Linked DNA regions of Canis lupus familiaris. The protein of the gene in region 1 purifies or fractionates together with the protein of each later gene. This does not show direct contact. Links are inferred from orthologs where the notes say so. Each region holds a gene or a part of one and is shown in the gene's direction. Other genes may lie near its edges.

Region 1 (6,291 bases):
GCATTATATACAAAGAGAAAGGCCTATGCCAAGTAACAAATGAGTAATATAACCAGAAATGATGTATGTACATACAGTAAGTGCATTGGAATACTCTATAGAGCATGATGCAGGGTGTTTTCAAACAACTGATGATGTAAAACAGTGATTTCCAAGGCATTTACTTAATCAGACCTTTAGAGGGCCCTAGAAACCTTCACTTTTAACAAGGGCCCCAGGAACTTCTAGGTTTTGATTAAAAGTGTGGTTTGGGAGAGGACTTCACCTTCATTGTGGCCAGAGTACATATACGATAAAATTATAAATCTTGTAATTGAACAAAATTTCTTTATACAAAGTACTAATAGAAACCTAAACAAAAGATGGTTTTTAAAAGTATCATGTATATATATGTATATATATAGTCCTATTCATAAAGTATATTAATCAAAAGCTGTACAATGAGAAGCATTAATAGTGAAGCCAGCTGCAAATATATTGCTTTGAAGTCCATGTTTCCTCAAGCATCAAAAACTACCAGTCTCTTAGTCTTTTGTTGATTTCTGTATTTTTGATGTGTTAGTTTCAGGTTTACTACATTTGACAATTCTGTACATCACAAAACGTTCACCACCAGAAGTGCAGTTACCATGCGTTACCACATAAAGTTAGCATAGCTATACTTTTCATTTGCATAAATCACTCATAACTGGAAGTTTGTACCTTTTCACGTAGTTCTCCAGTCCCCTACCTCCCTCTGTCTGATAACCACCAGTTTGTTCTCTGTGTTTATTAAGCCTATCTGTTTGTTTGGTTTTTTTTTTTACACATTATTTTGTATCCACATTCTCTGCATGTGATTGGATCCCTGAATTTTATTTTCACTGTGACATTTTCCAGAGATCTAGATTGTTGGCTTCCACTTTGAGGGCTTACCATCCTTCTGAGTATCCACTGTCCGTCCCCACATAGCACATAGCTGTGTGCTTCCAGACATATTTTCACTTGTTATTGTCCCTCCCATCCTTTTATGCAAAGGATATGCAGGCTCACATGGGCCATATAGTCACCCTGACTCTCCTTCTTGCCCTGGTGTTTGAATCTGTAGTATTGCTCTGAGCAACTGGTGGTTTGTGGCCCATCTGACAGACCTGCTGGATCACTGCAAGCTCCTCCAGTCGCACAACCTGTAGTAAGTGTGTGGCGGCCATGCCTGCCCTTGGGTTGGGCTGTGGGAGGGCCCTGAATGGAGCAGGCCAGGGGTTTGGGTCTCCTGTTATGTTTTCTTTCAGCTTTGGATCTAACATGAGAGAGTTCCTCCTGCTGGAATATGCCTCAGGACTGTTTGCTCATCACAGGTAGGAAAGCCCCAAGGATATGAGGTGCTTTTCAGCATGGATGTACCACTGGGTCTTGGATTGTGCTCTCCCCTGTCTGGTTCCCTGAAGGCAACGGGTCCAGGGGAGGAGTCATCTTGGTGCCAGTCCCCAAGCTCTAGGGCAGCACATGGGCTCATCAGTCGCTCCTGTCCTTGGATGTTTGCAGCCTGTGGCAGCTGGGAGTGGACTACTTTGACTACTGCCCTGAGTTGGGCCGAGTTTCCTTGGAGCTGCACATTGAGCGGATCCCCCTGAGCACTGAGCAGAAAGCTCTCAAAGTGCTGCGGATTTGTGAGCAGCGGCAGATGACTGAGCAAGGTGAGCCCACCCTCCTCCTGCATGCTTGCTGCTCATGCTGCTCTGGCCGGACTGGAGAACGGCTGGGCAGTGGGTGCCAAGAGATAAGCCAAAACAGGAAAATTATTGAGGAAGGACAAATGGCTAGGGAGGTGTCAGGACTTAAAACAGTGGAGCACACGGCCTTTTAAAGAGATCCTGACCCACTTCCTCTCTCCTGCTTACTCTAAGAAGGTCAGGACTGAGGTCAGCTTGGAATTTACTTCTCCCAGGTGGGTTGCTATTGCTAGCTAAGACTGTCTCAGTGGGGAAGCAGGATCAGTCGCAGCTCAGGAAGAGCACAAAAAGAAAGCTGTTCTATTTTCGCCCTCTCCTTTCACTGTTGAGGGATAAAAACCCAAGTTCTTTCTAGAGGCATCTGCTTGCTTATGACCATCGCTGAAAACGTATGGATGGCATTCAAAACCCAAAGGATGTTTTTGGCACCTGGACAAATGCCCTATTAGCTGACCTGTGAGGAGCAATAAAAATCTTTTTGTACTCCTAAAATCAAACCCACTCACAAGGTCATTCCTGCCAGGATGGGACATAGTGTTAATAGAACCAGGAGGCAATTTATAAGCCCCAGAGTCCCCAGTGTTGGCAACAAGTTGTATTTGGAACCTGTGAAGAGGCTGCAGAAAGCTCAGAGGAGAGAGAAGCCTACTCCTATCTGGCAAGGTTCAAGAACGGCCTGATCTGCAGGGTGAAAAGTTCACCTTCTTTTTCCTTACAAAGTCCGCAGCATTTGTAAGATCTTAGCCATGAAAGCTGTCCGCAACAATCGCCTGGGCTCTGCCCTATCTTGGAGCATCCGAGCCAAAGATGCTGCCTTTGCCACGCTGGTGTCAGACAGGTGGGCTCAACCTCTCTTGGCTTTCTGGGGACTGTCTGGGAAGTCGGGAGGCTGAGGAAGGTGGCCTGGGACCGCTGCTCAGACCTCTGGGCCGGGCCTGGCAGGTTCCTCAAGGATTACTGTGAGCGAGGCTGCTTTTCTGATCTGGATCTCATTGACAACCTGGGGCCAGCCATGATGCTCAGTGATCGACTAACCTTCTTGGGTGAGTCTCTGGGCTCTGTCCCTCGGACCTTCAGCACAGTGATGGGTTGTGCAGATGGGAGGGACTGATTTAGGCTTCTCCAGTGTTTCCTTCCTGTTGAGCCCAAATTCCTTGAACTATGTATGCCAGACTCTACAAAGCATATTTTCTGGAAACATTTCCTAGTAGTGTCAAACTTGAGAAAAAGGTACAAGAGTAATATAAGAAGTAAGGAGCTCCCATGTACGCTTTCTCGAAATTCACCATTTTTATTTTGCCTCATTTATTATTCTCTCAGGTTTTGGGGGAGTAATCTGAAAGTTGGAGTTTCTTCCCCTTTCTTCATAAATACTTGAGCACGTGTTTCCTAAGAGAAGCACATCCTCTTCTAGAACTAGCTATCCGAATGTACCGCTCTCATAAAATCTCTAGTCCATGTTCTGGTTATTATCAGCTCTCCCAGTGACGGCTTTTGTCACGTCCACATTCACAAATTCAGTTTTCCTGTCTCTGTAGTGCTTCTGCATTTCTTAGTGCTTCTGCACTTCTTCACCTTGACTTTTTTTTTAAAGATTTTTATTTATTTATTCATGAAAGAGACAGACAGCCAGAGGGAGAAGCAGGCTCAATGCAGGGAGCCCGATGTGTGGGACTCGATCCCAGGACTCCAGGGTCACGCCCTGGGCCAAAGGCAGGCGCTAAACCGCTGAGCCATCCAGGGATCCCACCTTGACATTTTTGAAGAGTCTGTTCTGCTTTCTTATGCCCTTATTTTGGATTTATGTCAGGTTTCCTCATGATGAGATTGAGACCTATGGGTTCTTCAATCTGTTGCAGTCCACGTCTCTGGTTTGGTTTGGTGGTTACATTCTGGGAGGTTGGCTCTTTGGAGCTCCTTCAAAATGTATGTGTGTGTGTGTGTGTTTATGTGTGTTTTCAATTCTGTTGGTACATGAGTTTCGAGACCGTTCTGGAAGAGTCTCCCTGCTTTGGAGCAGCTGGTCTGGGGTTTCTCATCTTGTTTAGGGCCAGAGGTGACTCAGTGCTCTGTTTTCTCAATAGGAAAGTACCGCGAGTTCCACCGATTTTATGGGGAGAAGCGTCTTGCTGATGCAGCTTCTCTTCTCCTGTCATTGATGACTTCCCAGATAGCCCCACGGTCTTTCTGGGTAATACTATTAATAGATGCCTTGCCCCTTTTGGAAGAGAAAGAGGTACAGTTTGAATTCAGAATGATTTTCTTCTCTGTGTTTTGTAGTCCTTGATTGTGCTTCATTCTGTAGCTGTTGTGGGTGCACATCCACACATCATCTCCCAAGTAGGGCCCTGCACGTATGTGTGCATTCCCCTGTAACGCCCACTCTGAAAATCTGGTATCTACCCAAGAAAAGCTACTTAATTTGAAATGAAGCAGCAGTCTACGGATAGTACTCCGCCTAGGGCCCTGACAGGAAGGGCTGAGAGTGAGCATAAGGGCTCTGTCCTCCCAGAGCTGCATATACAGAGCTCACTCCTCCCAAGGGTTTGCACAAAGGCCATCTCTGAACCCAGGTGCATGCCCAGACCAGTGCAGCCCTTGCCTGGGGAGCAACTAAGCAAAGCAGCCACTCCTCTCTCTCCTAGGTGGTTTTTTCAGCAGAGCAAACATATGAGCTGATGAGATGTCTAGAGGACTTCGCCTCAAGAAGGCCAGTGTGGAGAGAGCCTGGTGTTCAGCGACTCCAGGTTATTTTAGCTTTTGGATTGTTGATTCCATAATGGTGATGAGAAAAGGCTCCTTCCATCTTAGACTTCCCTACTTTCCTCCAGAAACACTGGCTCCTTACAAACTTGTGCTTCTTGAGTTACCTTTTAACCTGTTATTGACACCCCCAACTCTTTAGTAGAAAGTAGGGTGGTTCTAGTGTTCTGTTCTTTTCTTCTGGCGGTCACAGTGGGCCTTTGCATGTGGTTCTGTCAACTTGCTGGAAGCTAGTACTAAATGCTAAATGCCCTTGGTCTGCCTTTGGGTCAGATAGAGCCTTGCAGAGCTTTAAAGAAGGAACACTTCTGCTGTACCTCACGCTGGCTCTGTTTACTTTTAGGAGGACGTGGAGAACACGAAGTTGGAAATGCTGAGACTTGCTCTTGCACGAAATCTTGGCCGGGCCATTATAAAAGAAGGCTCACTGGAAGGATCCTGAGGTCAGCCAAGAGCTGCTTCAATGTGTCATTTTCATATGGCAATGTATATAGATTTCTGAAAAAATAAATTTTTCTTCCCCCAAATAGAAGGCAAATTCTTGGAGTCCAGCCTAGGGAGTTTCCCCTCTACTATGAACCTGAGGTTGGTGGTAATTAAGAAAGTGCTTGTTATGTTTTCCTTGGATGGAACTGGTCTCCCTGTCTTCCAAGAGAAAAAAAAGCCACTCCTAGAAGTCATGACGGTGAGTGCAGTGCCCTCCTTCCCTATTAGCTTAAACAAGAGTGGTCAGTGGTTTACTTACGCTTCTGAAATTTAGCCTTTACAATCAACTGGAACCTTTACCTGGTTTTTACTTTAGAAAAGGAAAAGGTCCAGGAACCTGTACTTTGACCAACAAAAATCTCAGGTGATGCCAGCATATCTACCTGTATACGTCTGGAATTCCTAAGTGGTGCTTTGTCCACAGTAGAGTGAATGGTCATCTGTATTAGGATTCCAGGTAGGGCAAAAATGATTTTATTTGACATGCAGCAAAACAAGGGCAGCAGAGTCAGTATATTGTACACAGCCATTTGTCACAAAGCAGTGACTTCAGTAGTAACACTCAGATAGTTTTAATGTCTAAAGCTTATTATAAAGGTGTATTTTCCATATAGTAATCCCACAAATCTTCCCAGGGCTGCAAGCAGCCAGTCTCTGGAAAGCTCTTAAATTTATAGGTAGTGAAACTGATTCACTTTTGACTTGTCCTAATGAAGCAGTGAAACCTGCTTGCTCAAGATGGAAGGGAAGGAATACAGTAAGGAAACCTGGCAAAGTGCAGGGAGGGATCAGGGAGTGTGGTTTGTGCCACCTTTCCCCAAAGATGGCTCTGTGCCATCCAGCTGAGCTCAGGTGAGCTGTGTGCTCTTTCCTCAGCTGGTGGAGGCAATTTTCCTGTTGCCCCATGAGGCCTAGACTCCCTGGCCCAGTTGCATCTGGTAGATGGAACAACTGGCACAAGCTTTCTGGAGCTGAGCACTGTCAAAGCAACAGGGTCTGGTGACTCGATTCAAGCATGGTTCCTGATCTCACCACCTCCAGACCCCATATCGCGGTGACTGGTGCCCCTCAGCAGCTGGGGATAGTCAAGGTCCCTGGGCAACAGGTAAGGATAGAAGTCTAGTGCAATGTGCCTGACCCTGAGGCCTCCTATTCCCAATCACATGCCACACAACAGGCCATCTGGTGGGAAGAGGGGAAGGCCCAAGCAGGAGGACGCAGAGGGTGATGGGAGTTGTTCTTCCCTTCAGAGGCTTGAAGGGCAGAAGAGCAGTTTATTTCATGCCAAGCAAGAGGTAGTGAATAGGATGGCCTGTTCTCAAGGCAGGAG
Region 2 (6,094 bases), on another chromosome or scaffold:
ATAAAGCTTTAGAGTTGTTACAGGACAGTAATCTGAATTTATACAACATTGTGGATTTCCATTTTTGTTACAATATGAAACACTGAGCATGCATACACATTTCTATTGGGGGGAAAAGTTCCTCCCATTTAATAATTTTAAACTAGAGCTATGTTACTTACATTTAATAACATTAGAGACTTTAAAATTTTTAATGATTGTTATAAGCATCTTGTCAGTCTATCTAATGGAGTTTAAAGACTAAATGCTGTCCACATAAGCTAATGAACTGAGTTTATTTCTAAAATAGGATTGTGTTTCACTGAATTTACTGAATGATGCTTAAGAGAGAAGAACTGAGCGGTGCCTGGGGGCGCTCGGTCAGTTAGGCAGCAACTCCTGATTCTGCTCACATCATAATCTTGGGGTCCTGAAATGGAGCTCTGCCTCACTGCACTCAGTGAGGAGTCTGCTTCAGGATTTTCTCTCTCCCTCTACCCTCGCCCCCCAAATAAATAAATGTCTTTTTAAAAAACAAAGAAAAAAATGATACCAGTTTTAGCAATTGCTAGTTTAACTTTCAGTTGTCAAGTTTCTCACATAGGGTTATCATTTGTGTTTCCAGAACCTTATCCTCAGCAACCTATTTTCCTGTGTGTTTCAGATCAGGCATCCTCTCTTACATCACTCACTGGTTACTGTTACTGGGCCTTATTCCTTTGGAACTGGGGACTCCTGCTTACCTAAACTCTTGATGTCTGTGACCTCTGTACTGCTACTACATAGAAAATAATATTTGTGAGCATAGGAAAGGGAGACAGATGTTCTGGGTGCTGTGATGAGTTAGCAGAAGGAACCTGATACCTGGCTGAGGCTAAGAAATATTTTCTAGACAACTTGGTATAATTAATTGCTCTGTGGTAATGCTGATGTTAGTTGTCAAACAAATCAAGACTAGCCTAGGAAAATTCCATACGTATTTTTCTTAACCAATAGACTTTATTTAGTCCAGAAAAACATTGGAGTAGTTGATATTCAGGGACTAGTCTAGCTTTTAAGTTTTCCTAATCCTATATCTGTTAAAAAACTTTGTTTTGAAATTACCGAAAGCCTGATCAAAAAGATGTGAGAAGAAAGAATATTTGTAGAATGGTATTTCCAGCAGTGAGTCAGAATCTAAAACATGCAAGGAAAAAAAATAGTGAAGTCAGGTGCATATTTTAAAAAATTCGATTGATGTGAAAGATTTTTTTGTTTGGGTTTCTTCTTTAGTTATCTGTTTGCAAAGAACTTCAACTGCCACCTAGTGACTTCGACTGGAGTGCTGACTTGGTGGCTCTCTCTTACTCTGATAACTCAGGTGAAACACAATCTACTCAGGTAGGTGACTTAAATGCTTATTGATACGCATTTTTTTTAAATAAAGAAGTTCTACTATTAGAGGAATCATCCAACCTGATTTAGAGACATAATGATAAAGCCACAGGAATCAAGACTTGTATTGGCAAAGGGACATATAAGGGCATTTGAACAGAATAGAGACTACAGATACAGAGTGGCCCTTTGATCTTTGACAGCTGCAACAATTATTCAATGGAGTAAGGATGGTCTTTTCAGTAAATGGTGTTGGGACCATTGGGCATCCTTATGCAAAGAAAAAGAGAGAAAGGAAGAACTACTCCCTAAATCTCCTACTTTATATAAAGATTAACTCAAAATGGATCATAGGTTTAGATGTAAAACATAAAACTATAAAAACTTTTAGAAGAAAACAGGAAAAAAAATCATCATAATCTGGGGTTAGACAAAGAGTTCTTGGAAATCACCGAAAGCATGATTCATTTTAAAAAATGGATAAATTGGACCTCATCAAAATTTAAAAATTGGCTCTGTCAAACACAGTGACAAGAAAAAGAGACAAGCTACAGCCTGGAGGAGAATATTCTTAAGTCCTATGGCCATCAAAGGACTTGTATCTCAAATGCAAAATGAACTCTCAAGGCTTATTAAGAAAACAACTGAATTTAAAAACAGGGCATAGGACTTGAACAGACACCAAGGGTGTCACAGAGGTGTTCATGTCATTAGCTATTAGGGAAATGTAAATTGAAACAATAGTGAGATATCATAATACATCTCTTAAAATGGCTAAAATACAAAATACTGACACTACGAAGTATTCCCAAGGATATGGGGCAACTGGAATTCATACATTCCTGATGAGAATGCAAAATGGTATAGCTACTGGATTTTCACACTTGCTGTTATGACCCAGCAATTCCCTTCCTGGCTGTTTACCTTATAGAAGTTAAAACTTATATTTACACAAAAAACAGTGTATGAATGTCATGGCAGCTTTTTATTTGTGATAGCCAAAGGTGGAAACAACCCAAGTGTCCTTTAACAAGTGAATGAATAAACAAACAGGGTTCATCCATAGAATGGAATTCTACTCAGCAGTGAAAAGGAATGAACTCTTGATAACAGTAACAATCTGGATGGATCTCAAGACATGCTGAAGTAAGATAAGCTGGTGCTTAAAGGTTACATTCTATATGATTTCATTTGCTTGACATTCTCAGAAAGATGGAACACTAATGATGGAAACAGTGGTTGTCAGGGTTAGGATGAGGGAAAGATGTGATTATTAAGAGAGAGCACCAGGAAGTTTGGGGTGTTGACAGAATTGTGCTGTGTCCCTATATTGGTGGTAGTTACGTGGGTCTGTACATGTGTTAAAATTTGTAGAACTAAAAAAAAAAAATTTTTTTTGTAGAACTGCACAACAAAAGAAAGTAAATTTTATAGTCTGATAATTTTTAAAATATAAAAAGGAGGGGTTTTGTCCCCCCTAATTTTTGTTAAATAGTAAATTGCCCTGGTTTCTTTTTATTGGTGTCACCAGACTCCTAGTTTCAGGGTCTTTTTTATTGTGATTACTGACTGTTATATTGTTTCAAGGCTGTTGCTGTCATGGTTGCCACCAGAGAAGGAGCCATCCGCTATTGGCCAAGCCTTGCCGGTGAAGATATCTACACAGAGACCTTCGTAGATTTGGGAGGTGATAAGACTTACAGTTTCCTAACAGCAGTGCAGGTATACAATGAGTATTCTTTTATATTTATTGGAAAGCTGTGTTTTGGCTTGGGAGTGAGATGTAAACGACTAAAAATTGTTTTGAATAGACCGTACAGGCCAGAGGGGGATCAAAAAGAGGTGAGAAGAATGAAAGGGTCTAGGATTTCAATAGGTGGACAAAAGAAAGCCCTTCTCCTAGGACTCTGAAATACCAATATTGGATCATGGCCAGTGGTATTCATTTCTTTCAGAAATTTTCAGACAGTGACTTAGGAACCCTTAAATGGTATGAAGAATAGTTTACTAATGTCCACTCTGCAAGTTTGCCAACAATAAAGTGTGATACTCGATTTGTTGAACCTGCAGTATGGTGAACCTGTTTAAGGATCAGAATTAAGAAAACATGCAGTTGGGACTCCTGGGTGGCTCAGTGGTTGAGCATCTGTCTTTGGCTCAGGTTGTGATCCCGAAGCCCTGGGATCAAGTAGCAAATCAGGCTCCCCATGGGGAGTCTGCTTCTCCTTCTGCCTGTCTCTGCCTCTCTATGTCTCATGGATAAATCTTTTTTTAAAAAAAGAAAAATATGTGATTAAAAAAACAATTATAACTGAAGTTTTTCTTTTTCTTTTTTTATTTTAAAGATTTTATTTATTCATTCTCGAGAGACATAGAGAGGCAGAGGGAGAAGCAGGCTCAGGCAGGAAGCCCCATGCGGGACTTGATTCCAGGTCTTCAGGATCACACTCTGCGCTGAAGGCAGACACAACTGCTGAGCCATCCAGACATCCCTGAAGTTTTTCTGTGTAGAGTTAATATCATGTGAGTGGATTCATAATTAAATCATTTTAGTAAAATGACACTTAAAATTCTTTTTAGATTTGTTTTAAGGTATAGATGATAGATGATTTGTTTCTATGATCAAAGCATTTTGTGTTAATGTTCTTTATCTCAGTTGTAGATGCATAACTGCTTTCACAATATTTGTTCATAGGGAGGAAGTTTTATTTTGTCCTCATTGGGAAGCCAGCTGGTTCGGCTGATACCTGATAGTTTAGGAAAGATTCATCAACATATCCTACCTCAAGGACAAGGCATGCTTTCAGGAATTGGTCGGAAGGTTTCTTCTCTTTTGGGAATTTTATCTCCAAGTAGTGATCTCATCGTAAGTTGATAAAAATAATTTTGTTTTACAAGCTTGTTTCTTAGTGAAATCAGTAAGTTGGAAGTTTCCTATGATGTTGATATTGCCTCCGTATGAACACTAGTGTATATGAAATAGAATCTTTGATTTTTTTCAGGGAAGCATGTTTTGATCAAATGAGTTCGTATTAACCAAACCCTTTTGCAAACCCTGTAACTTTAGTATTCTTAAATCATACAGATTCTAAGTAGAGTTTTTGAATTAAAATTGTTATATAAAATTATAAATGTGTTTAAGGACCAATTTTGGTTTTTAGATTTAACCAAAAGTGTGTTCTCCATTCCCATGACTCCAGCTGTATGTGTGGATGACTCAGATCTAGATCTGTCAGCCGGGCTTCTGCCTCAGGCTCTGGAATAGTGAAAGGAGGTGGACGAGAGCTAACGTGGAACATCTATTCTCTGCTAGGTGCTCTGTATTTGTTATCTGGAGTAATTGTTATGATGACCTATAATGTAGAGAGCATTCTCCCCAGTTTGCAGATGAAGATACAGCCTCAGGGACATTATGTAAACTGCCTGAGGTTGCACAGCTACTCTGTGGCAGATACGTGCCCAGGCCTCTGGGAATCAAAAGCACATTTTCTTCTCACTGTGCTGTTCGTCACTGCAGGTTGCTCTCATCATCCACTTTCTTGATGGTCTTTGGACCTAAAACCTGATGTGTCTGAAAACACATTGCTCATATTCCCTCTTCTCTTATGTTTTCTGTACCAGAAGTGTATATAAAACTCGTTTCTCTTTTGGGCTGTTTATTTCTGTTCATGACCCTGTCACTTTTTTTAGTAACCTCAATATAAAACCTTCATCCTGTATATATGTGTCTTCCCTTCTATAGCAAATTACTTACTTATCAGATACTATAGATTTGACTTCTACCATGTCTCATTTTAATCCCTATCTCTTGCTTCCATTGTTATGCCCTAATCTACACTCTTTTTAAATTTCCCCTAAGTTCTTCATGCCAGTTTAGTTTACTCACTGTTGGCCCCTTATCCTGTTAGTGGCCAGAATCATGGTAACAGGAAAAATGGAGAAAAGTAGGGCTTTAACTCAAAACAATCATGTGTGCCCAACTAAAAACATAACTGTACTTCAGAACCAAGTATATACTTGAAAAGGCAAAATAATCTACCTACATGGGGCACCTGGGTGGCTCAGTCAGTTAAGCATCTGCCTTAGGCTCAGGTCATGATTCCAGGGCACTGGGATGAAGCCCCATATTGGGCTCTGCCTCTGCCCTTCCCTCTGCTTGTGCTCTCTCTCTTGCTCTCAAATGAAATCTTTTCTAAAAAAAAAAAAAAAAAAAGAACTATGTACATATAACTTGCCACATTCATTTTCCTATAACAGTTCTTGAGTTCAAAAGCCATTGATAATATCTTGTTTACTAGATTTACAAACTCCTATTCAGGACTCTGCTGTGTGTTCGTAATTTTTCATTTGAATGTTATTTCTAATTCTTTTTTTGTTACAATCTACATTCCAATGTAACAGGACTACATGTTTTCTGAAAGACCTTATAACTTTCCCACACTGTACTCTTTTTGGGCTGTATACTTTTATATTTCTGCCTATGGAAATCTTACCTTGCTTTCAAGGTCCATTTCAGGATCACTCCTTTTTTGAATCCTAAATGAAGAATTCTGCTAGGATTACTAATAGAATACTCATAAAATACATAAAACTTGAATTTCAGAAAAATAGTTCATTAACATTAGAACTTAGAAATCTGTAAACTTTTTTCTTCTCTCCATACAGCTTTCAAGTGTCCTTTGGGATAGAGAGAGAGCAAGCTTTTATAGCCTGACAAGTTCAAACATTAGTAAATGGGAAT
Region 3 (6,094 bases), on another chromosome or scaffold:
TATTTAGCGTTTAGTTGCCTTCCATTCAACTGTCTTTCTCTGTTCATCCCTACTTGCTTTTCTTCACACTTGCTGGAGAGCAACTCTTCACCTTACTTCTGTTCTCTGAGGCTTTATGGTTTAATTAAAGGATGGTGTAAATACACTTAACGCTATAAACTCAAGTAGCAACGTTTGGAGAAAGGTGGAACAACACAAGGTTTGCCATAAAGTTTGGTGAGTGTGTGTTCCTTTAATAAGATCCTTTCGTTATTTTTTTTTAAGTAAATAATCTTTGACTTCTGTAAGTCCTTTGTTTTCAATGTTTTTACTGAACATGGCCTTATTACTCTTTTACTAATACTTTATAAACCTTTTTGCTTGGAATATTTCTTTTAAAAACCTTCTAAAGTAGCCTTTTTCTGTTTTATTAGAGATGATTTTTAAATGATTTCTTATGACGTAAGTATGAGGAGATGTATGTTAGGAAACCCTCACATTAGTAATGTTGTTAGAAAAATCTGTTCTAGAGTTTCCTCTGAGTGGAAAAATATGAATACCCAAAACAATAGTAGGATAAATTCAAAGGAGAAAAACCAGGTAGATAGGCTTTGTTTTTTACGTTTTCTTACCTTTTATTGGTATGTTATGAAATATAGCATACATGCCCAAAAGTGCCCCAAAAAGTACATGGGCAATTTAACAGGATTATTATAAAACAAACACCCTTGTAATGGTCACCAGGTCAAGAAGTAGAACATTCCCAGCATCCAAGGACCCCTTGTGCCCCTCCCTAATCAACCCTCTTCCTTCCCGTTAAAGATAATTAAACTCATGATTATTACGGCAGTCAATTCTTACCTTTTTATTTTTTATTTTTTTTTTCGTAAAGATTTTATTTATTTATTCATAGAGATGGAGAGAGAGAAAGAGGCAGAGACACAGGCAGAGGGAGAAGCAGGCTCCATGCAGAGAGCCCGACGTGGGACTCGATCCAGGGTCTCCAGATCACGCCCTAGGCTGCAGGTGGCGTTAAACCGCCAAGCCGCTGGGGCTGCCCTTCTTATCTTTATAAAATAGTTTTATCAGCTATGTATTCATCCCTAAAACAATATAGTTATTATATTATTTTTTCCTACTTAATGAACTTTCATACAGATGGAATAATAATATCATTTTTTTTGTCCTGCTTTGTTCATTTGACTTTATGTATGTGAGATTCATCCTTGTCTCTGCTTGTAGCTCCAGTTATTGATTTGTGTTGGTTTTTGTTTTCTTAATTCCAGATTTTGTACTTCAGCTGCTGATATGAAAATAAGATTATTTACTTCAGATCTTCAAGATAAAAATGAATATAAGGTATGTTGACAACTGTAATTCATAACTTTATTTGAAAACATCATTTTGCCTTTTTAATTGGATTTATCTCAATTTAAAATGACGTATAATGGTCACCTTTAAAGTATACAGTTTAGGATTTAATTTACTCAATTTTAGGCTATAGTAAGAACTACAGATTATAAATTTGATATTTATTAAAATATTAGGTAGGCACAACAAATGAGAGAGAATTAGAAATTCACATTTGGGTATAGTAGGAGGATTATAGACATGAACACGCGTAGTGTTGAGAGTCCAACTTTGAGACAACCAATGATTAGTGCAGCATATAGGGCAAGGTAGAATTACAAAGCACTTAAGAGCGCAGACACAGGAGCCAGACTGCCAGGGTTTGAAGTCAGTTCTCCCGCGTTAGTAGCAGTGTGACTGGTCAAGTTCTCAATTTCTTTGTGCTCAGTTCCTTATCTCTAACATGGAGATAATCATAGTATCTGTCTCATAAGATTATGAACATTGACTGAGCTAATTCATATAAAACAAAACAATGTTTTGTACAAGTGAACCCTATGTATATGTTTTCTATTAGTATAATAAATAACCCTGTAAAATAAGAGAAAGATGAGTACTGTATGATCTCACTTATATACAGAATTTTAAAAACCCAAACTCATAGAAACAGAGTAGAGTGGTGATTGCTGGGGTCTGGGGGAAATGAGTAGATGTTGGTCAAAGGGTACCAAACTTCCAGTAATAAGATAAGTAAGTTCTAGGAACCTAATGTACAGCACAATTAGTATAGTTAATAGAATGGGTTTTATACTTGAAAGTTGCTAAGAGAGTAAATCTTAAATGTTCTCACCATAAAACAAAAATTAATTTCTAGGTTGTCATGATTATTGGCTTCTAATACTTGTCTCCAGTGCTGGCAGGCACATTGAGGAAATGAATAAAGACCTCAGAAGGTGAAATCCTTACTATGTGTTTATTAGGCAGTAAGTTTGCTGAGCAGTAGGTATGAGTTAAAAAGTTCAGGAGGCTCTATCTCGGTGCCCCTAGAAAGTTATTCTAGCTTTAATTTTTATTAAAGCTTTATATAATAAGTGAGAGAGGAGGTGAGATGAGGACAGGTACAGTAAAAAAAGTGTGTGTGTGTTTTTATAAGAAATGCATACTAGAAAAAAAAGATCAAGCTAATAGCAATGTGTTGAGTGATCAGCTTCTTTCCAAGATAAACCTTCCAGTAAAGTGGGTGTATAAATCATGCTTTAAAAATAGCAGATTGCTTAAGAAATATTTATAGAAAAGGGAAGCATGCAGTGAAAGTTTTTAAGGCAGTGAAGTAAAAATATTAGTTAGAAATATTGTAGATTATTTTCCTGTATTCTTACTACCTTTTCCCCTTATGTCAGGTTTTAGAGGGCCATTCAGATTTCATTAATGGCTTGGTGTTTGATCCCAAAGAAGGACAAGAAATTGCAAGTGTGAGTGATGATCATACCTGCAGGTATGTTACTTAATGTTAAAAGCACATTTTTCAATTTTCATCTTATTTTAATGAGAATTACATTGTAAAATTACAGAAAATATAATTTTCATATATACTCCATAAAATGTTGTAAAAGATGCACACTTTATTTAAATTATAAGCATGGCACAGACATAAGTTTCAAAACTAGTGAGCTCTCATCCCAGATAATGAAAACTTCCCTCTCTGCCTCTTAGTTTATATATATATATGCATTTATGAAATTTAAATATATATTGGGTCAAATTCTCCACTATTGGGTAAGATCAGTAGGGCAATAAAAGGCAGTTGCCATATTGTGGATTTATTTTGCAGATCCTGTCTGATAACTTGATGTTTAATGAATTGCAAATCTTCTTTGCTAAAAAAAGACATGAGAGATTTCCTGTTTTGACAAATCTGAAGTCTGTATATAAGGTTTTCTGTAGATATAGTGCATTTCAATATCCTTTTCTTCCATCCCATTCCCCAGTTTGGAATGGATGAGAGCTATAACATTTTTTAATAGTGCCTAACAGTGGAGAATTTCACAAGTAAAGAACAAGATGAAGAGCAAGAGTAGGAGGTGGAAATAAGCTGAGGAGTCAGGAGTGAGATGAGGGAATTCTAAAGGAGTGCCAGTTTCATTTGCTTTAACAGTACTGTGAGAAAAAAAACACAGCTCTGCTATTTCACATAGTTTTAATATTTGATAAGGCTATAACAAAATCATTAGTATTTGTGAATACTTGTATACACATAAAACCTTTAAGTATGTGTCCTTTCACATTGGCAGTAAAGCCATTAGCTACTCTTTCAATTTTAATCATAATAGCTCATCTTTTTAAAGTTACTGAGTCATAGGTCATTATTCTTTATATACTGCCTGTGAAAATGTTCATGTCAAGAACAGAAAAATTTTAAGGTGTTAGGGCCTCAAGTGTTACAAACCCCAAGTTTGTATAGAGACCTGAAGAGTAAATGGGATAATTTTTAAGGTAAAATTTAGAATAGATCACAGATACAAATAATGACATTTTAGTTCTCTAACTCATGGACTTTCCTAATCACAAGCATTTGGAATAATGAAACTTGAGAAGGGGGAAAATAAGTGACTTTGCAAGCCAAGGAATAACCTCTGAATAGTGAACAATAGCTAGAGACCTGGGATTACATTCAGTGGTCTGTGATTACTTTTTTTTTCTTATAATAGAATTTGGGGGTTTTTTAGACTAGTAAAATTGTCCTAAAATTTTAGGGACTGACAAAGGGTTGCCAACTTTTTGTCAAGTAATAAGAATTTTAAAAAGTCTGCTGCCTTCTATTATTACCATCATTTTATGAAAGTAAGAACATTGTTACTCTAAAAAGGAGAAAGGCTTAACTTCAAAGTAAGTCCTTTAAATAAATTTAGCTTTTTGAAAAACTTACTCTGATGCCCCTAATTGCCTTATTTTGCTAGACTGTGGTTGATGATGTTATTGTTCAACAAATACTTACTCTCCCTCCCCCTTCACATGGAAGGAGATTTTCCCACACCATTGGGTTTAGCTTGTTTAGGCCATCACAATGTTAGCAGTTGTGATGCAAGCAGACATTGAAATGATTTACCTGGTTTGTGTTGACCTACTGTCCTCTGTCTCCTATAAGATGAACATGTCTGGATAGCTACTGGTCCCAGAATGAGAAACATATGGAACAAATATGGACCCATCTGGTATTATGAAATAGAGCTTCCTGCAGACTTGTGAGCAAGAAATTTATGCTTATTTTTATAAGCCATTGAGATTTGGAGGTTGATAACATCATTTTAGCAATAGCTGGGGAGCTAAATTTAGAATTCATCAGGTTAGTTCTCCTATCAGAAGTAAAGGACAGTTCTGATTGGCTATTAAAGAAAGTCAGACCTCTTGGGCCAAAAACAATATATATGAGACTTTTAAAAGAAACAGCATAGGGATGCCTGGGTGGTTCAGTGGTTGGGCAGCTCAGGCAGTGGTCCCGGGATCTGGGATCAAGTCCCACATTGGGCTCCTGCAAAAAGCTTGCTTCTCCCTCTGCCTATCTCTCTCTCTCTCTCTCTCTGTCTCTCTCTCTCTCTCTCTCTCTCTGTGTCTCATGAATAAATAAACATATCTTTAAAAAAAAAATAAAAGAAACAGCATAAATCAAGAAGTTTAAGGAAGAATAATAAGTATCATACATTCATAATAACAAATGGAAGAAGGGATTCCGAGAGGACTACAAGAGGAAAATATTTCAGTACAACTATCTTCATTAATTCAAAGTATAGAATGAATTGCCAAGTTACTAATAAAGACACCATCCAAATGGCAGCTGTGGTTTGGGCAATGGAAATAGCTATTTATATCCTAGGAATCGTCCCTATCGCTATACTAAAGAAATGCCTACCATAGTTTGGGTCTGCATGTTTCATTTGTTCACTTGGACAAATGAAATCCTTGTCCAATCATAGGCAAATCCTCTTTCATCTTGGAAGTAATTTTATGTGCAGGTGATACCATGCTTAAAAATACATACTCAATAGAATAGCCTGAAGGTCAACAAGGAACTAGAGGATTTGAACAACATTATAAACAACTAGACCTAACAGATGTATACGAAACACTCCAAACACTTTCAGCATCACCAGAATACACATTCTTCTCAAGTATACATGAAACATCCTCCAGAATAAACATTATGTCAAGCCTAAAAACAAGTCTAAATAAATTTTAACAGATCAAAGTCATGCAGAGTATCTTATTTGACCACAGTAGAATAAACCAGGAGTCAGTAACAGAGGTAAAATTGAAAAATCTACAAATATCAACATATAAACAAGTCAAAAAAGAAATAAGGGAATTTAGAAACTACTCTGAGGTAAGTACAAATGAATACACAACAAAATTTACAAGATGCAGCAAAACCATGCCCAGAGGGAAATTTATGGCTATAACCACCTATATTAAAAAAGAAGAAATAAAAAAAAAGAAATAACTGGAATCAGTAACATCAGTTTACACCTTTAAAGAGCTGGAAAAAGAACAAAGGAAACCCAAAGGGAGCAGAAGGAGGAAAGTAAAGATGACAGCAGAGATAAAATAGAAATAGAAAATAATAGAGAATAGATGACACCAAAAGTTGGTTCTTGGAGAAGATAAAACAAACTTTGCAAACCTTCAGCAAGACAGACGATTCCAATTAGTAAAATCAGAAAAAGTGGGATATTACTACTGACCTTACAGAAATAAAAAAGATTTTTAAGAG

What was found.
Region 2: the proteins of NUP85 (region 1) and NUP133 purify together in Homo sapiens (affinity purification with mass spectrometry; 5 studies listed by BioGRID and IntAct, with this or other methods). This does not show direct contact. The link is inferred for Canis lupus familiaris from reciprocal best matches to the Homo sapiens genes NUP85 and NUP133.
Region 3: the proteins of NUP85 (region 1) and NUP37 purify together in Homo sapiens (affinity purification with western blotting; 4 studies listed by BioGRID and IntAct, with this or other methods). This does not show direct contact. The link is inferred for Canis lupus familiaris from reciprocal best matches to the Homo sapiens genes NUP85 and NUP37.

Annotation. Positions count from the first base shown.
Region 1 is NC_049230.1:6,129,133-6,135,423, reverse strand, and holds the end of NUP85 (nuclear pore complex protein Nup85), read left to right. Parts: intron 1-1,087; coding exon 1,088-1,171; intron 1,172-1,271; coding exon 1,272-1,337; intron 1,338-1,524; coding exon 1,525-1,676; intron 1,677-2,432; coding exon 2,433-2,550; intron 2,551-2,654; coding exon 2,655-2,755; intron 2,756-3,796; coding exon 3,797-3,948; intron 3,949-4,357; coding exon 4,358-4,459; intron 4,460-4,818; coding exon 4,819-4,917; 3' UTR 4,918-5,002; downstream 5,003-6,291. UniProt on the Homo sapiens protein: Essential component of the nuclear pore complex (NPC) that seems to be required for NPC assembly and maintenance. As part of the NPC Nup107-160 subcomplex plays a role in RNA export and in tethering NUP96/Nup98 and NUP153 to the nucleus.
Region 2 is NC_049225.1:10,158,565-10,164,658, forward strand, and holds part of NUP133 (nuclear pore complex protein Nup133), read left to right. Parts: intron 1-1,251; coding exon 1,252-1,359; intron 1,360-2,940; coding exon 2,941-3,075; intron 3,076-4,048; coding exon 4,049-4,219; intron 4,220-6,018; coding exon 6,019-6,094. UniProt on the Homo sapiens protein: Involved in poly(A)+ RNA transport. Involved in nephrogenesis.
Region 3 is NC_049236.1:41,245,519-41,251,612, reverse strand, and holds part of NUP37 (nucleoporin Nup37), read left to right. Parts: intron 1-1,265; coding exon 1,266-1,338; intron 1,339-2,729; coding exon 2,730-2,824; intron 2,825-6,094. UniProt on the Homo sapiens protein: Component of the Nup107-160 subcomplex of the nuclear pore complex (NPC). The Nup107-160 subcomplex is required for the assembly of a functional NPC.